Solanum lycopersicum: one gene and its partners. The protein of the gene in region 2 interacts with the protein of the main gene of each other region in a pairwise test. Links are inferred from orthologs where the notes say so. Each region holds a gene or a part of one and is shown on either strand. Other genes may lie near its edges.

Region 1 (10,390 bases), on a different chromosome or scaffold from region 2:
GATGATTTCACTGCAGCTCTTCCTGAGAATGACTGCCGATATGCAGTATACGATTATGACTTCGTGACATCTGACAACTGCCAAAAGAGCAAAATTTTCTTCTTTGCCTGGTAAGTTATAATTCCATCTTGAACTTGCATAACTGGATTTTTATCAAAGAGATGCGTGCACCTTATATTCTAGATAGTTAAGACTCTTTATGATTTCATATGCTTAAACTGTCCTCTGTGAATGATGCTGCATTATTCAGCAGTCTAGAACAGGGACTCCATTTTCCAAAAGAAAACACGGGAGGAGTATTGGCTAGCTGTTTTATCATAACTTCAGTCTATATGTGCGGGGGGAATTTTTGCTCTCATTTATGAATGTTGGTTCTAAATTATTTACAATGCTGTCAAGTCACCACATTAATGAATTTCATAGAGCAGGCACATTCGGATTTACAAGTATCAAGCTTTAGTGTCAAACCAATTGAGTGAGTGATATGCGAGTAATGTGGAATAGTGGATGGATAGTTTTTCTCCTTTATGGAATATAACTAGCCAATGACGATGTCAATTGCAATTATTATGGTAGCATTCTCAGGGAGTGTCTGTGATGGCTGAAACAATTGAGTTAATCGTAGAGAGAGTAAGAGGTCAGGAGACCATTTGTGTTATTATGTATGTGGCTTAGGTTTGCAAGAAGGACACTTTTGTGAAGTAAAGTCGACAGCTGTTGTGGTCAGATACCTGAGGTACTCGTGAAGTGAACGTCAATGTCTTGAGAAAATGTTATAGTACTGAGAAAGCGAGAATAGCCATATGAGTAGAACTTGCATGCACATATTGTGAAAAGGTGGAAAACTGACCAGCAAAGGAATTGCTGATGCTACGAGTAACCATATCTTTTTAGAGAATACTTTGCAGTCGAGACAAATCGAGGTGAAGAATAGTTGGGTTCAGGGTCTTTAAGAATTCATTTTTCCTATAACTAGAGTGTGTTGTTTTGTGCCTAGCATATCATTGTAAGAAATTTTTTTCTAGAGGTTTGTTAGGTATGCATCACTCTTTCTGCAGTGAACTTTAAGACCCTGCATAATTATATTTAGAAGTTTTAGGAGGATGAAGAAATTCCCCATGTATTGGGTAGACTATACGGCAGTGTTTTGAGTTAATGATAATTTTGTGACAAAAGTTCTTGTGATAAGGTCTGAAGATTTATGGAAATTATCCTTCGCGTTATGGGGATTGCGGAGTGATTATATTTCCGTCAGTAGAAGAGACTAATTCTTTGGCTAATTTTGGATTTTCATTCGAGTCTTGGCATGTGTCTAAGGATTGTTCTATATTGGTTTTGGGTTAGACCAAGTTCCATTTGAAGTTATTTATTTATCTACTTTAGTTCTTTTAATATCCCGTCTGTTGTGTACTCGCAATACATCCTTTCGAGAATATGAAATTTTCTCCCTTCTTAGATCCGTGAAGCAGTGTTGTATCTAAAATAATAAATTCTTATCTTCTTATTGCATATTAAAGTCCTTGGCCCTTCTTCTCCTCGACAAGACAAACTAAAACATAACAAGAAAACACGACGGAAATGAAGGGATGTCTTCAGTAGGAAAATGTTGTTCAAAAGTAGTGCATTTTTGGAGAGTTCGAACAACATTGAATTTTTACTTTGGGAAATCATTTCATCGGATTAGTTTAATTATGAAAGAAGTGATATTCTAATCCATCCTTTTCAGGTCTCCATCTGTTTCCCGAATCCGATCGAAGATGCTGTATGCGACATCTAAGGACAGGTTCAGGAGGGAGCTGCAAGGCATACACTATGAGATTCAAGCTACTGACCCTACTGAAGTAGAACTTGAAGTGCTCAAAGAACGCGCTTACTGATTGATCAAACATCCTACTATGAAACAACCATTCATAATATTTCTGTGTAATCGCGTCTTACAAGACTCGATCTACTTAACTATGACATAAATAACTCGATGCTTGGGTTGCTGATTACCGGACGACTCATGATAGTTAGTATATCATGTTTTCTGGTTATGAGCTCGCTCATTCTCATGATGCTTCCTAGTCGAGAAACGAGTATGGTGTTCTGTATGTGAATGGTTATCAACTTCTCTATGTCTACGCAATGAATATTATGTGTTATTAGTATCTGACTGATAAATTTCTGTTGTTCTTTTCCTGTCTATCTGTTTGGGAGATGGTTAAATAGATCTTTAGTTGAACCTACAGCGCGTTTTTTGGTCGCTTATACAAGCCATGTACTGCGAAGATTCACCATAAATTGACTAGTTTATGCTTTATTTATCAAGATATTAGATTGTCGTTAACATAAATTTTTAAATCGTAGTTTAAAAGGTCTATATGTTATATTGTTGCGAGAGAAATATAAGGAGGGCACTCATACAACAATTATTGTAACAAAATCAACAGGCAAAAATCTGAACTACATAAAGCAAAATAAATTGGTAAGATTATGTACAACATGTCTGGAAATTAATTGTGTAATGATGGCAACAGTATTGTTTTCTCTAAATATAAAAAAACTACTGTTTTGCTATTATTAGAGGGACTTGGTTTTAGTGAAAATATTATAAATTAAGGGGCTAACTTCCAAAAGAAAATTATGTTAGCATTTGACTTTCATTTTCCCATGTGTAAATAGCTCAATCTTATCTACTTAGATTATCATAAAATCATAATTTTCTGTGATATAATTATATGAAAAAGTCGAAGTTGATCCTGATATGATTAGTGATTACTGATTTATCGTATGGTAAGATATCAAAAAATTATTTTAAAACATTGAGTTGATTTGATATTATAATAATATTATATTTTAAAAATTAAAAATAAATTTATTTATCGTATCATATCTATCTCTAGATTCTTCGAAACACATCTGATATGAAATTGGATGGAAAATATTTTCAATCATGCACTTACGTACACATCACAATGTTGTCATTTAGAATACTTATGTCATAAGACAATAATTATATTAAAAAAAAGAATGTCATAGTAGAAAAGCAAAAGAATTGACTTTTAAATGAACTTATTTCTATATGAATTTGAACACAAATTGTATCTAGATATAAATTAAATAAACTTGTAAAACACCAAATTTTGCATAAATTTGATTTTCTACAACTTCAAATTATTCCTTCAAACATAAAAAGATGCAAAGTAGTACTCTCAAATATGTATTCTCATGTAGTATGCAAAAATGCATAGGAGTTTAAGGTATAATTTCTCATGAGCAAAATCATGAGAATATAATAAACAGAACTTTTTTAAGATTCTTTTATTAGGATTTAGAGAATACCATACTTTAAAAGATGTGATATACATAATATATCTTTATAATCAATAGTATATATTTTTATGATTCGAATCAGTAACATTTATGTGACACGAAAATAACTCTACCATTACTTCAAAGACTTCCTAAAAAAAAGTAGGCATAAATCTTGATGGTAGATACTATAATTAGTATGAAATCAAATCTTAAAAGTTTTGTATAAAGTTGAATATTTTACTAAGCTATTAATCATATGATATTTTATTTTATTTTTCATTTTGCTGTTATTGGTCTTGTGGTGGTCCTGCAGATTACATTTTTTAGGATTATTATTCTTCTAAAGAGCTGCTGCCTTTGGACTCTTGTCTTTGAGGCCATTCCACTTGATCACATGAAGTCTAATCTTTTACTACTTACTATCTTTTTCCCTTTTTTGCATCTCACAAGATTTTAATACTCCATGTGGGATGTTCCCTAATGTTGTTCTTGGATTTTGTCTTATCTGATCTATACTATCTTGGTTAAACACAATCTTGATACTAAATTTCAGTAGTAAATCTCTTATTGGTTCTCTTATGACATTTTCTGGTGGAATTATTGGTATGGGTGAGATTGATCTTTGATTTCTTGAGTATTAGTGGTGGTTTTCTTTACTTGGGGTTTTAAAAAAGTATGATTTTTCACTAAGTTTGATGGTTTTCTTGGGAATATGATGAGAAATTGGAGTGAGTTTTGAGTAAAGATTGGATTTTTATGATGTTATGAGATTTGGAGTGAAGATATTTGTTGGGGTTTGAAAATTTTTTGTGAAATTGATCTTGGTTTTTGGCAAAATATGATTTTTAACTAAGTATGCTAGTTTTCTTGGGGATATGATGAAAAGTTGGACTGAATTTTGAGTAAAGATTGGATTTTTATGATGTTTTGAGCTTTGGGGTGAGCTGAAGTGAAGTTGTTTCTTGGGGATTGTTTGGATTTGTCCAACTTTGTGAGAATCTTGGTTTCTTGAGTATTAGTATTGGTTGGTTTTAGTTGGGGTTTGATAAGATAGGATTTTAAACTTAAGTATGCTAGTTTTTTTGGGAATATGATGAGAATTTGGACTAAGTTTTGAGCAAAGATTGAATTTTTATCATATTTTGAGATTTGGAGTGAAGAGTTGAAGTGAAGTATTTGTTGGGGGTTGTTTGGTTTTGTCCATTTTGTGGGATCTGTGGAAACTGACTAGTTGGAAATGGAGAGCAATTACAAGACAATTGTGTGGTTTAGGAGGGATTTGAGGATTGAGGATAATCCAGCTTTAGCTGCTGCTGCTAGAAATGGAAGTGTTTTACCGGTGTTTATTTGGTGTCCGAAGGAAGAAGGGCAATTTTATCCCGGTAGAGTTTCAAGATGGTGGCTGAAGCAATCTCTGATTCACTTGAAACAGTCTTTGAAATCTCTTGGGGCTGAACTTGTGTTGATGAAAGCTCAGAGTACACTTTCTGCTCTCACGGAGTGTGTCGATGCTGTTGGAGCAACAAAAGTTGTGTATAATCATCTATATGGTTTGTAATAACTTTCCTTTGGCCTTCACTGTTTGAGTTACTGTTCTATATCTCTGGAGAAAGTGTCGTGTTATTGCTAATATGTGTTGTCAGCTAATGTTATGGATCTAACTGTCCTAATAAACAAGCTCCAATTAGCTTTATTTCTTGTTCTTGTTAGCGTGGTAGAATATACAACAACACACCTAATGTAATCCCACAAGGGAGGTCTGGTAGCGTGATATAATATGGAAGACTATAAATAGAGGGTCAATACACCGCTTATATGTTCATACAAACATATACGTATGTATGTGTGTGTTTGTGTGAAATTTGAAGTATATATGGCTATAGATATTCGGTATTGATCTGATGTTCTGGTATCAATAGTGATACGTCTTATCTTTGCTATAACACATGCTGCACCGTTTAGTTTTAATAGAATTGTATAGAGTTCACTTGGTATATTTTCAACCAAACAAACATAAGATCATTCGAAGTTTATTGCATAACTCATAGAACCTTTCTAAAATGAATTCCTAGTAGGCCAAATGGTACTTGAATATTTGAGTTCCATGTGCCCGGTATCTGATTTTGAGGAAGTACTTACATGATCAATTTTCGGGTTTGATTTAGATCCTGTTTCACTTGTTCGTGACCACAATATCAAGCAAAAGTTGGGGGATCTTGGCATATCTGTTCAGAGCTACAACGGGGACTTACTGAATGAACCATGGGAAGTTTACGATGATGATGGCAAAGTTTTTACAACTTTTGATGCATACTGGGAGAAGTCATTAAGTATACAGAACGAACCTGTTTCACAACTTCCTCCTTGGAGATTAACTCAAGCTGCAGGTACGTTTGAGACCCCGTAACCTCCTGGTCAAATGACAACAATTTTACTAGTTACGCCAATGATCCCATTCTTGTTTTACATTAACTTGATGATTTTCATTTCTCTCATTGACAGGATCAGTTAAAATGTGTTCAGTTGAGGAGTTGGGACTGGAAAACGAGTCAGAAAAATCTAGTAATGCATTACTAGGGAAAGGATGGGCACCAGGTTGGAGCAATGCAGACAAGGCCTTAACCGAATTTGTAGAGAGCAATCTACTCGCGTACTCAAAGGATAGGTTGAGAGTCGGGGGAAATTCTACATCCCTTTTGTCTCCTTATCTCCACTTTGGAGAAGTAAGTGTGAGGAAAGTTTTCAATAGTGTACGCTTGAAGCAGATACTTTGGACCAAAGAAGGGAACTCTGTTGGAAAAGACAGTGCTACTATTTACCTTAGAGCTATTGGACTGCGAGAGTATTCTCGTTATATCTGTTTTAATTTCCCATTTACTCATGAAAGGTCGTTACTGAACAACCTGAGGTTTTTCCCTTGGAATGCTGATCAAGCCCATTTTAAGGCTTGGCGACAGGGACGGACTGGTTATCCATTAGTCGATGCAGGAATGAGGGAGCTTTGGGCAACGGGATGGGTTCATAATAAAATAAGAGTGATTGTGTCAAGTTTCTTTGTCAAGTTTTTACTTCTGCCATGGCAATGGGGGATGAAATACTTCTGGGACACACTCTTGGACGCGGATTTAGAAAGTGACATAATTGGTTGGCAATACATCTCTGGTAGCTTGCCCGATGGTCATGAACTTGAGCGCCTCGATAACCCAGAGGTATGTTATGTTGCTGATGTAAATGTCATAGTAGATGATGTTTCTTGCCATGGCTTTGTTTTTTCTATTATTTTTATGGCACAACCACAATAGAAGTTACGAGTTCAGCAGAATCCAATAGCTTTGACTAAACTCTATGTTCAATTGTTCATAAACTTTAAATCCTGGATCCGCCTCTATCAAGAGACTGCATAATCATGCCAAACTTAAGAAAACATACTTTTCTACTAGACATTTTCGACTCTATTTATGAAGGACTTTTATCGATATGGAGAAAGAAAACTCTTGCATACCTAGTAAAAAGCATGATGTATTCTCGGGACATTTAGTTGATGAGTCGCGAGCTTATTTAAGTTTCATCAACTCTTCATGCAGGTTCAAGGATTCAATTATGATCCGGAGGGCGAATATGTGAGACATTGGCTACCTGAGCTAGCAAGAATGCCGGCTGAGTGGATCCATCATCCTTGGGATGCACCACTTAATGTGCTCAAAGCTGCAGGGGTGGAACTCGGAATGAATTATCCGAACCCCATAATTGATGTAGATGTTGCGAGGGATCGTTTAATGCAAGCTATAATTATCATGAGAGAAAAAGAAGCAGCTGTGAATACTTCACATGCAAATGGAACTGTTGAAGTTGTGTTTGATAACTCGGAAAATGTTGGAGATTCAGCCAGTATTCCAAAGGACGACGTTGTAAAGGGAAAGGAGCCTTGCCCGAGCAGTTCATCTTATGATCAAAGGGTGCCATCAATGCAAAATGTAGGCACTTATAGAAAGAGACCAAAGCCCGAAGAGGAAACAAAGAAGCTCAATGATAACAAGCTTAGCTACAAGAACGAAAGGATCAAAATGTCAAACGTGGACGGTGACTTGTGCTCTACTGCAGAATCCTCTTCTATGAAAAAACAGATGACCGTCAGCAGAAACTCATTCTCTGTACCTCGAACAATTACCATGTCTCACGACAGAAAATCCTTTGATGACGAAGCATCATCACATGTGAAGCTACAAAAGGAAGAAGAGATTGACACATAAATCAACTCGTGCAAAAATGGTAAGACGCAAACACCCTAAGCTTGAGTTTTCGTTGTCTAATTTATGTTTCCATTCAAAACAGGAGAGCGTAGCTACATAAATATACTTGCATTTTTTCAAAATTCACTTCAATCACTCGTCTCGTCTCTGTTCCAGTTTCAATCATCATGACCGGACCCTGTCTTCTTCTCTATTTGCAGAAGCTACAACGCGATGATTCCCTCACCATCTCCAAACATCTGATAGTTGAATCAACATATGCAGTGGAATGACGATATCCTGTTGAACATTTCTTCGTGTATATATAACTTTTTCTTAATCGTAGCAAGGTTTGTAGTTTGTTTAACATAGTACGCGATAGAACTCATCGTGAAGCAGCTCAGATTCATGGTTTAATCTCTGCTTTGTTTAGTTACATATATAGACCATGCATATGTAATCTTGAATATGATTTGCTTTTTCTTGTATTTTCATAGTAATAAAAGATGAAAATAGGTCATCTAGTTTTGAGAAAATGATAACATATCCTACATTTTGGGTATAAATCGTTGGATTCGGAGCCTAAATGGTACAAAATATTAACAAAAATTCTAAAATGGTATATAAAATTTTATATTAATCAAAACGGTAAAATCGCTGGAACAACAGCGATTTACTCTACCGAAAACCTAACAACTATTTTAGACCCCAAATATAGTTCTTAACATGGACTTGTTTTCTCCAAATATGTTTTGTTTCTTTATTTTGGAAAGAAAGTTGTTTTATGCATTCCATAATTTTTGTTTCTTAATGATTCAAAGAAGAATTTGAAGTAATACTTTTGGTTTGTGATTGTACTTTGTTTATTACTTACAATTACTTCCTTTATCTTATTACAATTACTTGCTTTTATTTTGAAATAATTACATGTATTTTGCTTTTAAAAAGTTTCATTTGATTGTTTTTTATTTCTCAAGAAAATTAAAAATAAAAAACATTGTACTATGTTTATGCTTTTGTTCGAGAATTTGTTATTTTCTCTCCTCACTTTTACTTGTTTTGGACGTTACACACTATTTAAGAAATAATTATATACTCTTCTTAGTTATAGTAAAACTGGTCAAATTTTGACTTAACACATTTATCAAGAAAATAATATTATTGATATAACGAATTTACTATTTTATCTCTATTAATTACTCCCTCCGTCCTATATTGTTTGTCATGATTTTTATTTTTAGAGTCAAACTATAAAAACTTCGACTAACATTTTAAGATGTATTTTTTCATCATATTAATATGCAAAAAATTGTAATTTACAGTAATTTTCATATAGTTTTAGAACATTTAATTTTTTTTGTTTAAAATATCGAATCAATATGATCTAATTTACCTTTGAAAATTAATCAAATTGACTTTTGATAAGCGCAATATGACAAACAATTTCGAACGGAGGAAGTAATGGAATTCTAAATATATCTATTCAATTCATTTTCTTAAAAAGATTAACAACTCAATATTAATAAACTAGGAAAAATTATGAAATATTTGCTATTCATTATGTGTACAAATAATAATGGAAAAAAGTATATAAAAAAAAAAGGCAGATGGCTAATTTTGATTGGTCAGAAAAGATTCCAAAAGAATATTCCACTCTCAGTACTGGGGTACTATATAAGTCCATCAGAAACAGAAATTTGAGTGTTTACGCAAACGATGAAGACAGAAAACGTTATGAGCGAGGAACTGAGGCGAGATTATCGTGTGTGTGAGGAAATAGGGAGAGGACGATTCGGCGTCGTTTTCAAGTGTTACTCGCCGGAAACCGGCCAGAATTTCGCCGTGAAATCTATCAACAAGCTTCTCATCGCCGATGACTCAATCGACCGTCAATGCCTCTACAACGAAGCTAAGATCATGCATTTGGTTTCCCCTAATCCTCACATCGTTAGTATCGCCGATGTCTGTGAAGACGATACGTACCTCGATATCGTTCTCGAGCTCTGCAACTCCTCAGATCTCTTCCAACGACTCTCTACTCAACGACTGTTGTCCGAGTCTGATGCCATTGCAGTCATGGTACTCGTACTCTTTCAGTAGGGGAAAATGATCTGTGAATTTTAGTGCATTTGTGTTTTTGTAGATTCAAATTAAATGATTTTTACTAATATTTCTAAAATGTAGTACTAATTTGTCTAATTGATGATTATAGCAAATTGATAATTTTTGGATCAACTGTTTGTTTTAGGTTCCATTGATGGAGGCAATAGCGCATTGTCACCGGCTTGGCGTAGCGCACCGGGATATCAAGCCGGAGAACATTCTGTTTAACGAATGGAACGATCTGAAATTAGCTGATTTTGGCTCGGCTCAGTGTTTCCGTGAAGGCGAGCTGATGAGCGGAGTGGTAGGGACGCCGTATTACGTGGCGCCGGAGGTTTTAGCTGGAAGAGATTACAATGAGAAGGTAGATATTTGGAGTGCTGGTGTGATTCTGTATATAATGTTGGCCGGAATGCCGCCATTTTACGGTGACTCGACAGAGGAGATATTCGAGGCTGTTCTCAGAGCGAACCTTAGGTTTCCGACGAGGACTTTCCGGTCTGTGTCACCGGCGGCAAAGGATTTGCTACGGAGAATGCTATGTAAAGATGTTTCTAGAAGATTCTCAGCTGAACAAGTCCTTCGTAAGTATCACCGCTCTTATCATTCTTCTAGCCTTTTTCTAGATTACAACATTCTTTTATTGGCCTAATACATAAACATACATAAATATTAACGTTTAATTTAGTTTCAAACGAATAATTATATCGTTCAATTTTAAATGTGCATAATAGACAAACTTGTATAAAATTAAATGACAT
Region 2 (10,321 bases):
CCCACTTAAGACCCAAAAATGGTTATACTAAATCTTAAAGCTTGGCAGGGAGCAAGGTGCATTTACTGCATATGCAAGTTCCCATAGAGATGACAGCAGGATTAGACAGTACACAACTTGAGATTATGAACACATTATACGAATAACATCAAACTCATTCCATGCTAAAATGATGTTATTAGAGTACCAGCTCTAACCTAGTGGGGCGTGATATCTCCTACTCCCTTTGTTTCAATTTATGTGAAGGGCACGGAAAAAAAGGGATGACTTTTGAAACTTTGGGTCATAACATTTGTTTGGTTATAAGACTTTAGAAACTTGTGTTCTTAAACATGCCATAACATTTGTGTGAATATAAAATTGTGTCACTAAGGCTAAAATGAGAAATTTAAGTTAAATTGTTTGCATATTTAGATAGAGGTCATTCTTTTTTTAATAGACTAGGAAGGACACAGGGTCACATAAACTGGAACATAGGGAGCATGTAACAAGGTGACAAGAGAAGTGGCTAAGATGCCTCAAGCCCCAAAGAACTCCACCATCTCTATTTATTATCGAGAAGTCACTCTCGAACACAACCAGTTTCTAACCCGAAACGGAAAATAGCATAATAGTTACAACAATATCAAACTACGAGGACTCTGTGATTGCCAACAACTTAAAATGCATTGCATTCACTCAGAGCATCAGAATGTTTTCCATATACCCTATTTTAGGATACCGTATTGCTGGCTGTCTTACAGGTATGTCAACATTGACTTTTTCAGAAAAGCCCCAAATAGCAGAAAATAATATTGCACAACAAATTGGAAACATAACAATACCTTGTTGTTGGACGAGAAGAAGGCACAGGATGAAGCAGCAAAAAGCAAAAGCCAACTTCCTTGGGATTTTGACAAAGGAAATTTGGAGGGAGAATGCGACTTTGCAAATTCAACATGGCTGTGGAATGTGCTGCAGGTGATTCGAAACAGCAGAGCAACTAAAAGAAACAACATGAATTAGTAAGAGTAAAGATAATTTATCTCAGCCCTTTGGCAAAGTGCATTGTGAAACAAAACATCAGTTCCCACACCCAATATAATAGAATCACAACGAAAAAATCATTAACTTAGCCAGATTGTGTACAGCTACAATTATTTCCCCAGAGTTAAAATAAGAAATATTGAAAATTAACAAAAGAAGCCACAAAGGAGAACAGATAAGGGGTGCAGCTGAAATCAAGATATATACTCAATGCTAAAAGAATTGAGCATATGCAACACCGATTCATTGCATTAATGACTGTTCATCAAATTCTAGAGAAGAACAACAGGCTCCTTGGAAAAGATTTGGGAGGTTCCCTCACCTGCCTTCTCCATATTCAACAATCTGAGAGAGCAATGGAGCATCTGAGGGATAAATTTCAAAATCTATTTAAAAAAGACAAGCATATCCAGACTGGAATCTAGTACGAAGATCCAGTCGAGTGGGTCAGCAAAAGTTTCATAAAAGCATATGATTCAATAAATCTTAATTATATTGATTTTAATTCAGTTTCTTAAAAGCTCAAGAAGCAAAATCAGGGAAGTGCTACAGGGAGACAGAGTATGTGATTCATCAGAAAAACTTCCCTTCTTTTTTTGGTGTTCTCTTTCTTCTTTTGTTTGGGATGTATGTATCTTCTTCTTTTTGGTGAGGAAGGTAATTGTATTACACAAGCAGCACTTAGTCGGTGCCGAAGTGTGTATAGGTGAGCACAAAGCAAAAGAAAAATCACTTACCAATCTTATAGAAATTTTAAGAGGCTAAATATGGATTCTGCTTCATTTAAAAATTCTTCTTAGACTAAAAAGAAAATAGAAGTTCAAAGTTAAACTTGATCTGTTGGAATGAGTTGGCTTTTATCTTTCAAAACATCAGTTCCTTTCTTTCTAAACAACAGTGAATGTGTTTATTTTAGTTACACCAACATTTGAGATCATCTTAAAATCTGCTTCAACATAAATTCAACATCTAAGAATTGATTTTGCATCATTTAAAACTCCTCCGTATACCAAAAACAGAACAAAAGTATACAATAAAACTTGATTTGTTGGATTGTATTTTCCATATCTTCAAAATATCTAGTGTTTCATTCCCTCCTCATTGTCCACCATCTATTTAAATGTGATTAATATTATATTGTGACTCTTGCTTAATATGGATCGGACTGGTGCAAACTGAACCTAAGTTCGTGTCTAAGAGGAGAGACAAATGAGCAGAAGGAAAAAGGAAGAGAATTTGTCAGTGGTTTAAAGTAAAATGATTATGAACCCAGCAATTGATTACCCACCTCAAAGAAAAGAACCCCGAGACTGTAGATATTAGACGATGCTAGGCTTTCGTGATGGAGTTCTTCAGGACAAGTGTACCACTTCTTTTCTAATTGATTAATATCAGACTCCAGTAGACACCCTGCCTGAAATGATGTGCCTTCATCACGAGAACAAGAACGAGCATTGCTTTCAGGCTGCTGTCTAATCAAGCCCACGTCCACATTGACCTTCTGTAGCTTTATACCCAAGTTACTATTAGCATGCATTTCCATGTCGGATGGCCTTTTCCCATTAGTATTCCGGCTCACAGCATACATGGAGTCTATCTGGACAGATGAACCAATATATTTAACACCATTAGGTGACAGTAAAATGAAACAGGAAGGCCGTATATCCTGGAATGCATTTCCTTCAGAGTGAGCAATATCAATTAACTTCACAATCTGCCGGAATATGTGAATCCTCTCAGCTTTGTTTATCTGTGATCCCGTCGAGTTTAACCACTCTCTCAAGGTAAATCCATTGTAAGTTGAAGTGGGTCTTTGGTGATCGCTACGACTGAAAGATGCTTGATTAGAATTAGCACCTTGCTTTAAAAAAACATCAGATGATACCATTCCTGTGGAGGCTTGCTCGAAGTCATTCTTATTCTGCAGAGTAGAGGCAATATGAACTTCTTTATGAAGTGCAGGTCCTTTTGGTAAAACATCTTTGGTTTTAAGAGATCGGTTAGCAAAAAAATGAGAAAAGCTAGAAGTGGATAAAAGTTTTGATTGACTACTTCCCGGAAGTAATCTATTTCTTGGAATAATTAGGTTATGGTCTTCTGTTGATTGGGAAGACTCTGCATTAGAGCCTCCTTTGATATCTTTGTCGGATGCTTGCTTCAGCATTTTCAGCGCAAGTAAATTTATTCTTGGCAACTCCTTGGAACTTAATTGCTGAACAGCCTTGTCCGTGGATGAAGGATCTCCATCTCCCTTCAAACTTCTAGAGCCAGACCCCAATTGATAGAAACGTTGCCACTGAATTTGTGGTTTCTGAATGGTTTTTTGACTATTGGAGCATCTAAGAGAAGCTGGCTCAGAAATTTTGTAACTACACAACTTTTCAAGAGTGAGCCTTGAACTATTCAATGAGTAAGAGCTTGTACCGTGGAGCTGAGGCCCCTTCATGGACGTTACATTTCTGTTCATTCCATCACTCTCCAACATCCCTGAACTGGCAGAAGTTGATCCCTCTGGCAACTCATGACTGGTAGATGTACACTTCCCCATTGATGGTTCACCAGAATCACACTCCCTCGTTCTAGATAGCACATTCGCACCTACATCATTTGCATCTGCTTCCTCCTTTGACTTGTCCATATCATTCCAAAGGACTCTTTCAATTAAATAACCAGCTGCATTCACCTATGTTTACCCCTTGAAGGACTAGCTGAAATAAAACAAAGTACTTTGTAGTTAGACAGATTTCTACGTCTTTAACTTCGTTTTTTTATACTAAGCATGTGGAATTTCGAGGTACTAAGGAAGAAGGGAGTAAAAAAATCTCTCAAAATCTTTCCTCCTTCACCTAGTCAAGTTGGTCGAAGCACGTCTTCCAGAACTAAGATTTACAACAAAATACTCAATGTGATCCGACAAGTGGTGTCTAGCGGAGGGTGGGGTGTACACAACCTTACTCCTATATTCTGAAGATAGGGAGATTGTTTCTAATAGACCTTCGGCTCAAGTAAAGCATATAAATAACAAATATGCAAAGTAAATACAGTATTGAACATATCAATAATAGCACTACCAAAGAAGAGAGAGAAAAATATCATATGTTCATAATAAAGAACTATCCTAGCTTCGATTACTTAGACTTTCTATGAATGCTCATGTATTAAAAGTAAATCCACAACACATTCAGGGTACTCATACTACACTTCTGCCCCCTATAGATTGCAGTTGAGTTATCGCCGTTGATTTAGAGTCGTGCGGAGCAGCTCGGAGTTTCAGAGATTAGGGTGAGCTCCTGGCGTCTAGAGCTACCGGTTTCCATATGTTTTGCTAGGCTTAGTCTTTATATTGTATTCAGAGATTAGTCTGTACTTGTCTTGTATTTGTGAAAGCCTTGTACTCCTATTTTGGATTAGATGCTCAACTAACTGATGGCAGGACTTGGGATGGTTCCTGTATTGTTTTTGTTGATTATCCTTTCTCTACTTTGTTCTAAGCTCTTACTTCTTGTTGTTGGCTTCCACTTGCTAGTCGCCTAGTCCATTGCTTATCGCTTCGGGCTAAGGGTTAAGCTTACTTACTGGTGCAGTGTAGTAGGTGCCATCATGACCCGAGAACATTGGATCGTGACAGTTTGTGGGGTCTGGAGATCGCGTAGGATGTAGGCAAGTTACCCTTACCTAGGAGGCTATTTCATAACCACAACCTAACAAACATAATTGATAAAAGGGATAAAAGTAATCATAGATTTTCATTTCAGCATGAAACCAAAATCAAGAATAACGCAATTATGATATAATCACAGTTTGGGAAAAACAAACTCAATAAGGTGAAAACACTATAACCAAACAAAGAAATCCAAGACTTAAAAACAAACTAAAAAAAGTTCAATTTTTTTTACCAAATCTTAAATCACAGACACATAAAGAAATCAAAAGACTAACCTGAAACTGAAATGGGGAAAAAAGGGTAGTCTCTCCAAGAATCTGTCTAGCTCACTCATCACTATTCAAGATTCTGAAAAAAAAAACAATACTTTTCATTTGTTCAACACCCCAACTGTGCAATTATTTGTGCATTAATTTACTCTATAGATATGATGATTTATGAATCAGTCAGTCACCCCACTTGGAAAAAAAAAATTGTTTTCGCCAAATGATGTCTGTGAAAAGTGGAGCAATTCAGATATTGTTTTCGCCGGAATTGTGCTTTGTTAAAGGGCTGTTTGGCCATTAATTTATAAAATTTGAAAAAAAAGAAAAAACAAAACCTCTTATGAAAGTGATTCATTTACTTCTCTGTGCTTATATACCTTTATCCTCTAACGAAATAAAAAAAAATATGTTATTTTTTTATTTTAAAAAAAAATTGTTCATCTAGTGGTATATTTTACTTTTAATACGTATTTTTTTTTGTTGACAAAATGGAGTTGTTCTGATGATAAGTAATCCTCACTTTCAATACGAAGATTGCGAGTTCGTATTTTTTTAAACTTTTATATTCAGAAAATAATTTGCATTTTATTATTCTGATAGTTAAACTTATTTTTTATTTTTCACGATTATTTTATAAATTTATTATAGATACCCAAAAAAAATCCCAAACACAAACTAAACTACCATATATCCATAAAAATAGTTTTAAATTACAATTACCCGCAAAACTTGGTAGGCGTTTGGGGCGCTTTAGCCATGTGTTTTCATCACATGGCAGTGTTTTCGGACACGTAATTTTATGCTGATTTTATTTTATGATTTAGTAAAATGAAATCTCTAATTTCTTAAAAGTCATAATTTTTAGGAATTTTAAATAAAAATATTAATTCGCGAGTTTTTATTTTGTAAAAATAACTCACATTTATTTTATACCCATTTGTTTCATCTGTAAACAAAATTTCTAATTCATATCATTATTTTTTAAACCTTTTATATCTCATATACAAATTATTCTCGTCAATACAAATTTATTCTTCAAAACAATTCTTAATTTAACGTTTATGTTCCCCAAATCATTATTTTTTAATCAAATTTATTACTACTTCATTCAAATCAATGTTTAATAATAACAAATAATCACCATTATATTGAGTGGATAAGACTAACCATGCTGGGATTAATTGTAAAAAAAATTTTCTTAGCTACTAACAATTTGAACACTATAATTTATGTTCAATTTTATTTTTTGTTGAATTAAGGTTTAATAAATAAATATTGTTCTTCTTTAAGAATAATTTTGTAATAATGTATTACGCGATTTTATAAGTTTTGTTTATTTGGTAAGATTATATAAATAATTGGGGATAATTTTTTATACTTTTACTATTTACGGAGTTTTTATATTTATGAGAAAACATAAAACATAAAAAGTCAAAATTGTATGTCCTAACAAAATTTCAACTTCATCTCATAATTTCATATAATGATTTCAAATCATGAATTTATATGGTATGACCAAATGGGCCTTTAAAATCATGATTTTGAAATTTCAAATCATGATTTGAGATTTTCGAAATACCAAAATTGACCATGAGTTTATATTTTATATAAACAACCCGATATATATATCTGCTAACCATTTATTGCATATGTAAATAAAATGTGTAATGCATATCATTACTTTTAAAATCATTTATATCTCAAATAATGAGTATTTTCACTAACATAAAATTTATTATTATTTCAAATCAATTTATATTTTACCATTTATATTCACCAAATTCATTATTTTTAATCAAATATATTTACCAACCAAGTTGACCAACAAATGGCTCAAAATAACAATGTTGGTTTGTCTTCTAAGTCATATGAAGCATAAATGCAAGTTCAATGTGAGAAGATTGTTGAGTCCGAAGCCTAAAGGGCAAAAAAAATTTGATAAAAATTCCAAAAGGGTACATTAATATTTTTTTAACCAAAAGAGTAAAATCACTACACTATTTTTTTTAAAGAATATCGCTACAGGTGCAACGATTTTGGCCAAAAAAGTCCCGTTGACAGAACCATTGTTCTTTATAGGTATGTAAGGCGTCTCAAAGTGTTGGACTTGTTAGCCCTCACGCTACATCTCAATTTAGTCAAGAAATTGTCACATCAAAAGAATCTATTCGCAATTTTTATATTGAGTTCGATTATTCAATAATTGAGACTTTTTTATTCTTCTATTTTGTGAATATTATTGTATTGTTCATGCTTAGTATCACATTAAGCCTATTGATTTGATAAATTTATGTTTCTAAAGGGATCATATGAAACTTTTCATGTCCGTGTTGGGTTTGAGAATCAAGAAGAGTATAGGAGAATTTTTTCAATTCTAAACTAAGTCGGGGTCCTAATTTAAGCTTGACAATTTGTCGGGGTACTAGGGAAGGGCCTGGGCCATGATAGTGTTAAGGCTGAACTTCTGAAGTTTAAACCATGGGGCAACGTGTCAGCATTGCATCAAGGCCTCACTTTTGATGTTCAAGCCCTGGGGCGACGCACCAGTAGTGTGCAAAGGCCTGATTTATGAAGTTCAAGCCTGGGGAGATGCGCTAGCAGTGCCAAGGCCTGACTTCTGAATTTAAGGGTCTAGCACATTGCGCCAACAATATGCCAAGGATTTTTGGATCAATCTTTCCTTATTTCATCCATACGTGTTCCTCTAAGTTGGGTCCACGTTTTCCTTCTTTGTATTAGCTCTATAGGCTTCATTTACCTGTGAAAAAATTCTTGCATATCTTAATCACATATCTTAATATATATTCAAAACTAGAGTGAGTTTAAGAGAGAAGTTTGAGAGCTTTTATTTAGAATCTTTTACACAATAATAATCTTAACCTAATTTCTGAGAAAGCAAAGATGAGTTGATTTTGAGTTCTAGATTTCCTGATTGTTTTTTAAATTTTATTTCGACTATTGGTTTTCCATTTTGTTGTTGAGATCTTTGAGTTGATTCGTTCATGTCTATATTAATTAGCATGAACACTATTTCGAGTTAGAAATTTTGACAATCTTTTAAAGTCAATTTTTATAGTTTAAGCTGAGTTTTTAAGAAAGTAAAGAGGAGTTTGAGAAAGAGTATAGGGTAACTAAGTATTCTCAATTGTTTAAATTTTACATGAAGTAAGAGAGTATTATTTTGAGAAAAGAAAAACTTTGATTTCTAAATGATTTTATGAGTTTCAAGATATTTTAGAGTGGTATCCTCTTTAAAGAAGAGAGTTTGAGCAACTATCTCAAACTAGAGAAAGAGTATGTTTTACAAAATTGAGCATGAGTATGTATATTACTGGGAGTAGTATTGAACAATAATATGAGGATGAGTTCAGACAACTCAAAAGTCAAAATCCTCATAAACCATGTATGATAACATTGGTAAAATATCATACTTTATAATGAATCCTTATAACTAAGTGGATCCACTTAGTTGAGGTGTTCTATACTCCAACAAGGTATAGGACAATTTTGGAAGCGTGGGTGAGACGTTGTGTCATGATTAACTCATAGTAATAGTTGTTCGTTAGAGAATCTCACAAATAAGAGTACAGAGTAATTTATTGTACTTTTTATACACTCTTGAGTTAATACATTGTATTTTTATGAAGTTCTAAACATTCCATCTCTTATGATTTCTTTTGTATTGGAGTTGAGTTGCGGTGAATATTTTTTCAATCTTATCAGTTCAGTTATTTATACATTTATTTTTTCTTACATACTCATACATTCAATATACTAATGTCATTCGACATGAATCTTATTATGATGCAGATATGAGTGTTATGGTCATCAACATACGTTTTGTTGAGATCATTTTGCACTTCAGATAGTTTGGGTGAGCTTCCTAGCATTCCGAGGGAGTTCATCTTTATTTTCAAGTTAGGGTTTTGAGATATTGTGGATCTTGTCATGAAATCAATCTTGAGTAATAAAGTCTTCATAGATAGACAGAGTTGAGGAGTCTTTCAGAATTCACTATTCCTTGGGATGTATTTGCAAACTATTTTACTTATGTTATTGAGTATTTTGCAAACAGTTTGAGTTGAGTTTTTACTTTGAAATTAAATGTTCAGAAAATTGTGTTTTAAGGGTCTTTTATCAATATGTACTCAGGTAGGACAAGGTTCACTATGGGACCATTAATTAATGATTCTCGAGTGTCACACATGTCTAGGATGTAAGCTCGATTGGAAAAAAGGAAGTTTTCCGATCCTACAGAATTATTAATGTGAAGGCCTTTTCTTCGAAAGGAGACCCGAGAAAGAAAGAGTTATGCTATTGACCTATCTCTTTTTTCATAGGCATTACAAATATTAGTAATGATTTTCGAATGTCGATTGCAACTAGAGTGTAGGCTCGGATTGTCACAGATCTTGATTTGGATGTTGTTTTTACTGGCCTCTGATAGCCAGCTATGTCCTCCTGATGTGGTAAGATAATTAGTTAGTATTGCTTATATGTTTGTCATAATTAGTTCATTATAATTAATTGAGAAACACTTATACCCGAAATTTCAGAGATACACTTATACGATACTAAGGTTCGATTACCCCCTGAACTTATTTTATAAGTAATTTTCTACCCATTTTCGGCCTACGTGACACTATCTTGAAAAAAAAGTCAATCATCATTGCACCCACAAAACAGTGTCATGTAGGCCGAAAAGGAGTAGAAAATTATTAATAAAATAAGTCCAGGAGGGTAATAGGACCTTAGTGTAGTATAAGTATGTTTCTGACATTTTGGGCATAGAGTACTTGAGCATTTTCCCTAATCAATTTTCTTTTGCTCATCTGTATTCAAGACGGAGGAGGAGTACTATTCTTCAGGTGAGGTTTTTCAGTTTATAGTAATATCTACCTCATTACAATTAGGGTTATACAGATTGCCATAAGCATTCTTACTTTTTATGTGCATGCTTTTTTTTTTAATTTACTTTCAAGTGTTGTATGAGTATTGCACTTCAAGAGTTTGTTACCAGCAAATCATGTCAATCACTGAGATTGATGAATTGGTGGCAAGAGACTGAGCTAGACATGCTTGAATTCTGCGAACAACCACTAGTGGAGTCATCAAGTTTTTGCTAAATAGTTCTTTTGACCTCAATCTCATTGGGTATTTATTTTACCTACTATCAATAATTATGTGTCACGCGTGCATCTTATGCGTTTTATGTGCATTATACATGTATATTTTGTTAATTATGTAGTATTTTTTTTCTTAAAATACTACATATATGTTGAATAAAATTAATTGATATCTATAAAGTCAAACTTTAGTAAAGAATCCAAACATATTCAACAAAACTAATATCACGTGTTTCATG
Region 3 (10,130 bases), on a different chromosome or scaffold from region 2:
TCCGACCTCAACTCGGGACCCGATTCCTAACCTTAATTTGAATTTCAACTCTTGATTAGGGATCCGACTTGATACATGATCCCAACATAGGACTCAACTATCGCCCCCAACCATACACATGATTGAACTCCTCACCCTCTTTTCCAAGACCTGACTCATGATCTCGATTTGGAAAAAGACTCCAAACCTTGACTCGAACCCCTCAACCCCTTTTCAGGACCTAACTCATGATCACGATTTGGAAAAAGACTCCAAAGTCTAACTTAAGATCTAATTTACGATCATGATATTGGGACCCTCCGACATGTCCCCAACCCTAAATCAAACCAAAACCTGAATATCTCGTGACTTGGCTCCTGACCTCAACCTGAGACTCTACTCCTGACTCCAACCCTAACTCGAGATCCAACCTAGGTCCCTCCTTCTAACCTTAACCCATACAAGAGATTAGACTTCCAACCCCGATTCAAGATCCAAAATTTGACCATGACTCCAATTAGGAACAATACTCCCAATCCTAACCGTAAAATCGATCTTGACCCTAATATCATAACCTTGACTCGGCCCAAGATCAAACCCCGAACCCCACCTCAATATTAGGATCTGATTATATATTGACTCTAATTTGAGACCCTAGCTACTCCTAAGTCCAACCTCAATTCCCGACCCCCCGATCCAATATGAATCATGACCCTGATAAAAATTCATTATCAGACTCCCGACCTTGACCCAACCCAAGACCAGAATCCTAACCTCGACCTTGAACTTATCTGATCAAACAAAATATAATTAAATTTTATCTCAAACTTACTGTCTGTTTGGATGGGCTATTAAGTTGTCAGTTTTTAACTTGTGAGAGTAAGAACAACCTAAAATAAGTTTGAACTTAAAATTAGGGTGACCCCTACTTTTTTTCAACTTAAAAATCATTCTACTTTGACCAAGTAGATTACTTTTTTACCCTTATTTCTTTTAAGCAATTCTCAAATTCTTTCGTGTGATGTATTCAAATTACTATATATTTTTTGAGATTTAAAATAAATTGCACATTTAAAATTAACTTAAGTATTAAGTTATTGAAATTGAATTAAAATATAAAATAATTTTATTTTAATTTTTCTTTTATTTCTTAGATTAATCAACTTTTTATTATGTTAACAGTTTTAAGGGCATTGCATATGTTTTGAATAAAAAAAAGTTTTTAACAACACTTATTTGTCTTACACATCAAAAACTTTTTTTCAACTGCAATTATTCAAACACATAACTATTTATTTTTAAAATAATTTTCCGCACTTTCAAAAAGTTACCTTTTTAAACCAATCCAAACAAATTCTTAGTCTTGAATATCCTATTTTATCTCATCGAACTTTGATATTATTTTATCCCATTTCTAAACTGTAATAAATTAATATCCAAAGATTATAGTCCTCATCAAACTTGATGTTATTTTATTCCATTTTTTAGGTGGAAAAAATCAATAGAAAGACTATAATTCCACAATAATTTAGTACGCAAACCAAAAGAAAACTTACACGTATAGAGTTGTATTCTTAACATTCTTTAGGAGTAGTAAACAAAAGAAAACATTGCTATTGTTGCACCTCTCTTTACAGCAATGAGAATTAACTCCCAGTACTTACGTATATCGCTCGTTTGGTACGAGAGATAAGCATAAATAGTTTTGGGATAAAAAAAGTTATGAAATAAAATTTAAATATCTTGTTTGATTAATATTTTTGGGGTAACTTATCCCATCATTTATCATATAGTGATATAATAAATTATCCCAAAATAACTAATCCCAAAAAAATTATTTTGAAATAACTAATTTTCAATCAAACGGCACGATTTATGATAGAAGTAGGTAACAACATAATTTGCTCAAGAGAAAGTGACATGTACTCCTGTCCCCTAGTGTCATGTAATTTGCACATTTAAATAGGTTTGCAGCAGTAAATATATGTGCCCTTTTAATTTCAATTATACTAGTGGTAAGTAACCTTCTATATAGGAGTACCATTTCGCTGTCGGTGGTGGAATAAGAAATTTCACGAAGGGTGTCTAGGTGCTAAAGTAAAAAAAAAGTTGCTATTAGTTAGATTCGAACGAATAATCACTTTTTAAGCTCACGAGCCTTTACTCTTTTAAGACATCTAAAATTACTAGGCTACATCATGATGTTGTGTCAAGGATATCCAAAATATGTTATTTAGTCACTTTGTTTATCATTTTATTTATATATACAGTATATTTTTCCGATAAGAGTGTCCAATTGACACCTTGACATAAGAGTGGCTACGCTACTGCCCGCTACGAAGCGCTTCCCCCTCTCTTACACCCTAAATAGACCATATGCTACTTGAATTTATCATAATCGAACTCTAATAAAGATCTCATTTAGTTGGCGAGAGTTTGATTTCTGAGGAACTCTCTTCTCATCTCACCTACCCTCTTACTGAAAATTAACCATAAGAGGAGCATACAAGAGCATGTGAAAATATGAGTAAAGTTAGGGGTGGTGGGGGTGCCTACATTACAAGTGACTTTAAATAGCAACACAGATGAATGAATGAGAATCTAATACCTCCATTCATGAAAAAGGCCCACACACCCTTTAGAAAAATACCAAATCCAAATTAGTCACCACTCTATACTCTATCCCTTCTCTTACCCATGCTTCATGTCCCCTTCCAACTTCCCATTTTTCTCTTACACAATCCCAACTTGGTCGGAAAAACTAAATTAAAATAATATTATAAAATTGTCCAAACACTATATATTATAATGGGGGTAACAAAATTTGTTGTCTAGAATCAGATTCTACCAAAAAAGGTTAAGTGAATCAAACTTTGCCCCCTTTTACCTGTATAAAAGCTGGCAAAACTTTGATATATCATTAGGCAAAAGTGTATATATGTTAACAAACATAGACCTTTATTAAACCGTCGATTTTCTCTAACAAATAAAGAATATTTTTGGTTCGATAAACTTAAATAGTGTTATTTTTGAAAGATGGTAAAATATTTTAGTGCACTTTAATAGTGTCATTTCATTTCTTGATGTCACATTGTGTAATAAAAAACATGAGCTACTCAAATCACATTCAATTTGCAATGATTCAAGAAAATCAAACATTTAATTTTTTGACTTTATTATACCTAAGAAAGCTAATGTTGAATTTAACAAGAATTTTCCACCCTGTCATCAAAGAGAGAGAGAGAGGGGATTAGAGAAGGCACTAGAGATAGAGGCTTGGTGGAATTTTGTTTCCTTCTTAGGATAAGAAAGAAAGAAAGATATAAAAATAAAATCTTGAAAAAACATAAAGTTGTGGATGCAAATCTCCCATAAGTTCTCATGTTACCCCACCACCATAACCAATCACCCTCAATCTCACTTTCTCCTCCCTCTTTCTCTGGAGAGGTTTGTTTTTTTGGGTGGACAATGCCTATAGTAACTTCACAAGAATAGCATCTCATCATTCATCAAAGAATAACATTTGGGGTTTGTTAAAGTTAGGTTCTTTACTAGAATTTGCCTAAAAAAAATCATCTTTGTAATCTTTATCTCCTCAGTGAAAGCTACAGGGAACAGTCAAAGTATAGATAAGATTAACCCCAATATACTTCTGTCTAAGAAAGACTCAATAACATGGTGTTTACATAGTAAGAGAGAAAAATAGAGAGAAAAAGACTAGTCTTTGGTGTTGTTGAAGGAAGATGTCAGGTGGTGGTTGTAGCATAGTATGGTTTAGAAGGGATCTGAGAGTGGAAGATAACCCTGCTTTGGCTGCTGGAGTTAGAGCAGGGGCAGTTATTGCTGTGTTTATTTATGCTCCTGAAGAAGAAGGGCATTATTATCCTGGTAGAGTTTCAAGATGGTGGCTTAAGCAGAGTTTGGCTCATCTTGATTCATCTTTGAAGAGTCTTGGAACCTCCCTTATTACAAAGAGATCTACTGATAGTATTTCTTCTCTTCTTGAAGTTGTTAAATCTACTGGTGCTACTCAGCTCTTCTTCAATCATTTGTATGGTTAGTACTTGTTTCCATTTTTTTCTGTGGTTTTCTTGCTTCTTTAAATAAAAGATAGAGCACCACTGTTTTACTTCCTTTTTTTGGCTTTCCTTTGTAATCATTTTGTTTGATTTGATTATTCTTAATGTTGTTTCAAAAGTTATTAGTACTATATTGTTGGGATGGCTTAATTGGGATTGGTGCTTCCTATATGTCCTTTTAAGAATAAGATATTGAGTTGTCTTCTGGTAAACATAATAAATTATTAGCATGTGTCTTCCTCATATAACTAAAGAATTTTAAGTGCAATACTTTTTGCTATGCTCAATCCTCAGTGCTTGTAGCATTCTCTGGCTACTAATTTGTTTAGTGCCTGAATTAGAACTACAGTAATCTGGATTTGTTGTACTAAACATATTCCATATCCTTATTATTTGATTAATAGAAGCAGAAAGGGTGTTGCTTGACATTTGATCTGATCATGGTTGAATGGATAATTGCTAATAGATATGCATGGCTTTTATTTTAAGCATCTCTTTACAGTACAAGGATTTATAAGATGCATAGTTTTGCTCAGCCAATTTCATCCACTACCTTATCCTGACCAACACCTTTGACTTCTTTGGCTTTAGATCCTATTTCACTTGTGAGAGATCATCGCACAAAAGAAATCTTAACAGCTCAAGGTATATCAGTGCGTTCCTTTAATGCTGATTTGCTCTATGAACCATGGGAAGTTAATGACGATGAAGGTCGCCCGTTCACAACATTTTCTGCTTTTTGGGAGAAATGCCTTAGCATGCCTTATGATCCAGAAGCTCCACTTCTTCCTCCCAAAAGGATTATATCTGGTTTGTTCTCATCTGAGCTTCTCCATATCTTGTTGGCTTTCTGGATAAATTTCTATTATTTTTTGTACATATTTTTGTAACATAAGGTGCTTAGGGTAGAAGGTTAGTAGGGCATGAAGGGTCTTTCAGAAACAACCTCTCTACCTCCACAATGTAGGGGTAATATCCGCGTATATTCTACCGCCGCTTGTAGGATTATACTGGGTATGTTGTTGTCGTGCTTGGCTTAGTGTTACGTTCCACCAATGATGCACACAAATTAGGAGATCTCCCTCCAGGTAATAGATATATTAATTGTCAGATAAAAATAATGTCATTGCACCGTAATGAACGTGTTGCTACACTTTAAGCTCGGAGATCACTACATGGTGTATAATGTGAATGTTGCAGGTATTCAAGTCCTTCAAAAGTGGAAAGGTGATAATGAACATTTAGATGTTTGAGCTGTCACTAACAAGCTAAGGGCTAAAACAAATTCCTAGGATGGTGTTAATGTACTTATAGGAGCACTGGTTTAGATTTTAATTTAGTTTTTACATGGATTCATGTGCAAACTTTCAGGTGATGCATCAAGATGCCCTTCAGACAACTTGGTATTTGAAGATGAATCAGAGAAAGGAAGCAATGCACTTCTTGCTCGGGCATGGTCACCTGGCTGGAGTAATGCTGATAAAGCACTAACTACTTTCGTTAATGGACCATTACTTGAGTACTCGCAGAACCGTCGGAAAGCTGATAGTGCAACAACATCCTTTCTATCTCCACATTTACATTTTGGGGAAGTCAGTGTTCGTAAGGTATTCCATTTTGTTCGCATCAAGCAAGTTCTCTGGGCCAATGAAGGAAATAAAGCTGGTGAAGAGAGTGTTAATTTGTTCCTTAAGTCCATTGGGCTGAGGGAGTACTCAAGATACATGAGTTTTAATCATCCTTATAGCCATGAAAGGCCCCTTCTTGGTCACCTAAGGTACTTCCCATGGGTAGTGGATGAAGGCTACTTTAAGGCATGGAGACAAGGTAGAACAGGTTATCCTTTGGTTGATGCTGGTATGAGAGAGTTATGGGCAACTGGTTGGCTTCATGATCGTATCCGAGTCGTGGTATCTAGTTTCTTTGTGAAGGTTCTGCAGCTTCCATGGAGGTGGGGGATGAAGTATTTTTGGGACACATTGTTAGATGCAGATCTTGAGAGTGATGCTCTTGGTTGGCAATATATCTCTGGTACCCTACCTGATGGTCGTGAGCTTGATCGGATTGATAATCCACAGGTATGTTAGGGTAATCTTTGATGAGAATCTCTTCTTTCAATTGGAATTTTTCATAACTTCATAGTTGAAATTCCTTTTCTTCTATTTCTCTAACATAGTAGAGTTGCTGGAACACCAATTATAGACTACTACCGTAATTTTTTTTAATAACTTTACGACTATTCTACACTTCGAATGGTTATAGCCTTCCATGTTGCGGTAAGTGTTATTTTCAGATTGTAAGTTAGTTTCCAGGCACTGACTTGCTAGTAGACATTGCATGAACATCTCATGGGCCTCAATCTTCTTACAGAAAGTGCTAAAGCTTAAGATGGAATGTGTGTGTGAATGCCTAATTGCAAATTCTGCTTCTTTTATATCCTGAGATATTACTTATTAGTACAGTGACTGTGAGCTTCTTTTGGTATTAAATTGATATGCGAGTCTTTTCAATACAAGAAACCCTTCCTTCTGTTTCTCTTGTTTTTTCATGTAAAACAAAAGTGAGGCTGCAGATTTTGCTATATATATCCCTTTTTCCGTTTCTGTTCTTGTTTCTTCATGTGAATTTTCTTGGTAAAGGCTGAATAGTTATTTGAACCTGTTCTCTTTCTGGCAGTTTGTGGGATACAAGTGTGACCCTCATGGGGAATATGTCCGGCGGTGGCTTCCTGAACTTGCTAGGCTGCCCACCGAATGGATACACCATCCATGGAATGCACCAGAATCTGTGCTTGAAGCTGCTGGCATTGAGCTGGGTTCCAATTATCCTCTTCCTATAGTTGAAATTGATTCAGCAAAAGTTAGACTAGAACAAGCCCTATCACAAATGTGGCAGAATGATGCAGCTGCAAGAGCTGCGATTGAGAATGGTATGGAAGAAGGACATGGTGACTCTGCTGACTCCCCAATAGCATTTCCTCAGGCCATGCATATGGAAATGGACCATGAACCAGTCAGGAACAACCCTGTAATAGTTACTGTTCGACGCTATGAAGATCAAATGGTGCCAAGCATGACGTCATCTTTGTTCAGAGCTGAAGATGAAGAGAACTCCGTGGACATTAGGAATTCAGTTGTGGAAAGTAGGGCAGAAGTTCCAACAGACATCAATGTAGCTGAAGTTCATAGGAGAGACACGCGTGACCAAGCCGTCATGCAAACTGCTCGAACCAATGCTACCCCACATTTTAATTTTGCGGTAGGTAGGAGGAATTCTGAAGATTCAACAGCAGAATCTTCCAGTAGTACTAGAGAAAGGGATGGGGGTGTAGTGCCTACATGGTCTCCCTCAAGTAGTAACTATTCGGACCAATATGTTGGTGATGATAATGGTATTGGGACCAGTTCATCTTACTTGCAAAGGCATCCACAATCTCACCAGCTAATGAACTGGCAGCGGCTTTCTCAAACAGGGTAAGCTACGTGAGTTTCTTGAATAATCAGTAGAAGAAGACATTCATCCAAAAGAGATGAAAACTAGGAAATGGACAAATTTGAACATTCCAGTTTGAATATAAGCATTAGTGTTGCATCTAGCACAAACAAACATGACTACTCATGAATGGCACTAGTCACAGATTCACGGATAACATTTCTCATGTCCTTCATATTTCCTGTATGTCATGGTTAGCTGGTGAAAAAGCATTGCAAATTGCATAAAATTTTAGGCCAGTGAGAAGTCCTACATGAAAAGTCTGATTTAAACAAACGCAAGCAAATATGAATTGTGCTTCCTTTAAACTAACTGCAGACACATCTGTATACAAATATGGTGCATATTTCCATTTTTAAGGCCTTAGGCTCAAGACGACCACCTTGAAATTTCCAGGAAATGTCTTATCCTTTGGCTTGTTTAACTTGCTTACAGGTGATCATTTATGTGGAGTTACGATAGCAACAAGGCGGAGAAGCAAGTGGCTAATACAGACATTTGGCTCAGCACATTTAGTACAGCATTCATCTACTCTTTCTCTCATAGTCCTGACCTGATCAGCCATCTTTGTGTCTATATCTCTAATTGATCAGGTGGTTCGTCTGGATTTTCATCCTCATCTGTCGGGCATCCCCATTTACCTATTATACCATATATGTGTCTCTGCTGTATAGTATAGAAGTTTTTCATAAGGCCAAATAAGTGTTAGAAAGAGGTTGCAGTCCTCTGTCAAGCTCACACTTGTGCCTTTTGTTTTTCCTTCTCTTTTCTGCTACTTACATTTTGATGGCAATAACGATTATCTGAAGTCCTGGAACTAATTAGATTTTTGTGGATATCATAGTTTCAAACTCTGTTTGACGGATGTACATGTGGTTTAAGCAGCTTCATCTCATATTTTTGTTATGGGAACATTGTCATTATTCTATAAGATTTCTAGTTTGAACATTTTCATTGTTCTGCTTGGCAGTTGTGTCTGTTCAGCTGAAAGCTGTAAGTTGAGTTGTTAACATTCCCTGTTTGGTCTTGTGTGTGCGTGTTTGTGTGTGTATCTTATCAATGCATCAGAAGATATTCGGGTACTCGAACGAGCAGTTCTTATAGTAAGTTGTGTTACACTAGAACAAGAGAGACTCTTCTATGTTTTGGACAGAAATCCAACATCATTTGCAACTTCAGCTAGTCCTTATTGTTGTTGAACATGCATTAGTAAAGTGTTTAGCCAGAAACACCAAAAAAAGAAAAAAAAAACATTTCAGTTGAGTGGAAATGATGAGTTTACATGAAAAATATAAGTAATCTGAAATTTGAAGCACGACTCTCTATCATCACAAGCAATATCTAAGATGACAGATACTAACTGAAAGCTTTCAAAATCAGAAGTTGGAATATGATTTGTTTCAGTTGAACATATAAACGGAACCATGGTGAAGTGTTCATACTAGACTCTTTTGGTTCAAGTTTTTAATACACTTAAAGCACATCTTATCAAGTATATATATGTTAGATAGAATATGTCATATTTTTAAATTATACATATCAATTTTAACTGAAACATATCTATTAGCTTAACTACCTAATAGATACTTGATAAGATAGGTACAAGTTTATTAAGAGTTTGAATGAAAGTATTTAATAGAAACAAATTATAATTTAAATGAGTATCCTGTACGATCGTTGAAATATTAATTAATAAAAGAACTCTGATAAAAACAAGTAGTACATGGACGGTTAATGATCATAAACTTTTCGTAAAGTTTTAGCATATCACTTAAGTGGATTTCTAAGATAAGGTAATTAATACCCCAGTGTTTTTTTTCTTTGAATGTTTCAATAGTCAAAGCTTAAATCTAAATGATGCCCTTTAATAATTCATAGATGGGATATGATGAAGAAAAGTTATAAGAATAAAATCCATGATTAGCATTTATTTAGCTACCATAGAAGTCAACCAAAAACATGAGAATTATGAAATAAAAAAATATTTAAGATAAAGATTATTAATAATAGGGAGGGATATTCTTATTTGAATATTTCCCCCCTCTTTTTAATAAATAAATAAATAATAAGGTGGTTTAGTATTATATCACGGTCCAAACTTATGATACATGCGTATTGTTTATTTTGATCTAATATACTATAATTTATGTATTTAATAATTTGTTATTTGAGTTGAATCATCAAGTACAAATTCTTTATTTCCGATCAATTTATCTACTAAAAGTTTGTCAATCTATTATCAAGCTCTGCCTAATCATTTGTCCAGGCATTACAATTAGAGGGGTACGTGTCTAAGTCGATTTGACTTGAATCTTTATTTATTAAATCATATCAACTATGTCGACTTTTAGAAAATTATATATACTTCACCATTTCTTGATTTGGTTCAATTTTTTTGGAGTTCCTTTATGATTAAGTATCCACAACACAAAATATGTAAGTGTAACTAATGCATGCTTCTAAAGACCAAAATTATTATTATTTGTCTACGTAAGTATAATTAAACAAAAAAATTATTAAATTAATTACTACATTATGCTAAAATATAGTTTCATCAATAATAAAGATAAAGGAAAATTC

What was found.
Region 1: the proteins of protein SUPPRESSOR OF PHYA-105 1-like (region 2) and CRY2 interact in a two-hybrid assay, tested with the Arabidopsis thaliana proteins (4 studies listed by BioGRID, with this or other methods). The link is inferred for Solanum lycopersicum from reciprocal best matches to the Arabidopsis thaliana genes SPA1 and CRY2.
Region 3: the proteins of protein SUPPRESSOR OF PHYA-105 1-like (region 2) and CRY1A interact in a two-hybrid assay, tested with the Arabidopsis thaliana proteins (3 studies listed by BioGRID). The link is inferred for Solanum lycopersicum from reciprocal best matches to the Arabidopsis thaliana genes SPA1 and CRY1.

The regions. Positions count from the first base shown.
Region 1 is NC_090808.1:67,118,693-67,129,082, reverse strand, and holds CRY2 (cryptochrome 2), read left to right. Parts: upstream 1-4,402; 5' UTR 4,403-4,534; coding exon 4,535-4,847; intron 4,848-5,462; coding exon 5,463-5,684; intron 5,685-5,799; coding exon 5,800-6,506; intron 6,507-6,881; coding exon 6,882-7,547; 3' UTR 7,548-7,566; intron 7,567-7,703; exon of another isoform or gene 7,704-7,747; 3' UTR 7,748-8,062; downstream 8,063-10,390. Other genes in the region: actin-depolymerizing factor, read left to right, coding at 1-110, 1,727-1,877; phosphoenolpyruvate carboxylase kinase 1, read left to right, coding at 9,243-9,605, 9,775-10,213.
Region 2 is NC_090809.1:4,263,269-4,273,589, reverse strand, and holds the start of protein SUPPRESSOR OF PHYA-105 1-like, read right to left. Parts: upstream 5,301-10,321; 5' UTR 4,966-5,300; intron 3,735-4,965; 5' UTR 3,665-3,734; coding exon 2,315-3,664; intron 983-2,314; coding exon 825-982; intron 1-824. UniProt on the Arabidopsis thaliana protein: Controls normal photoperiodic flowering and regulates circadian rhythms. Required for suppression of photomorphogenesis in dark-grown seedlings and for normal elongation growth of adult plants.
Region 3 is NC_090803.1:61,979,644-61,989,773, forward strand, and holds CRY1A (cryptochrome 1), read left to right. Parts: upstream 1-3,376; 5' UTR 3,377-3,722; coding exon 3,723-4,035; intron 4,036-4,649; coding exon 4,650-4,868; intron 4,869-5,429; coding exon 5,430-6,136; intron 6,137-6,734; coding exon 6,735-7,531; coding exon of another isoform or gene 7,532-7,535; intron 7,536-7,985; coding exon 7,986-7,989; 3' UTR 7,990-8,456; downstream 8,457-10,130.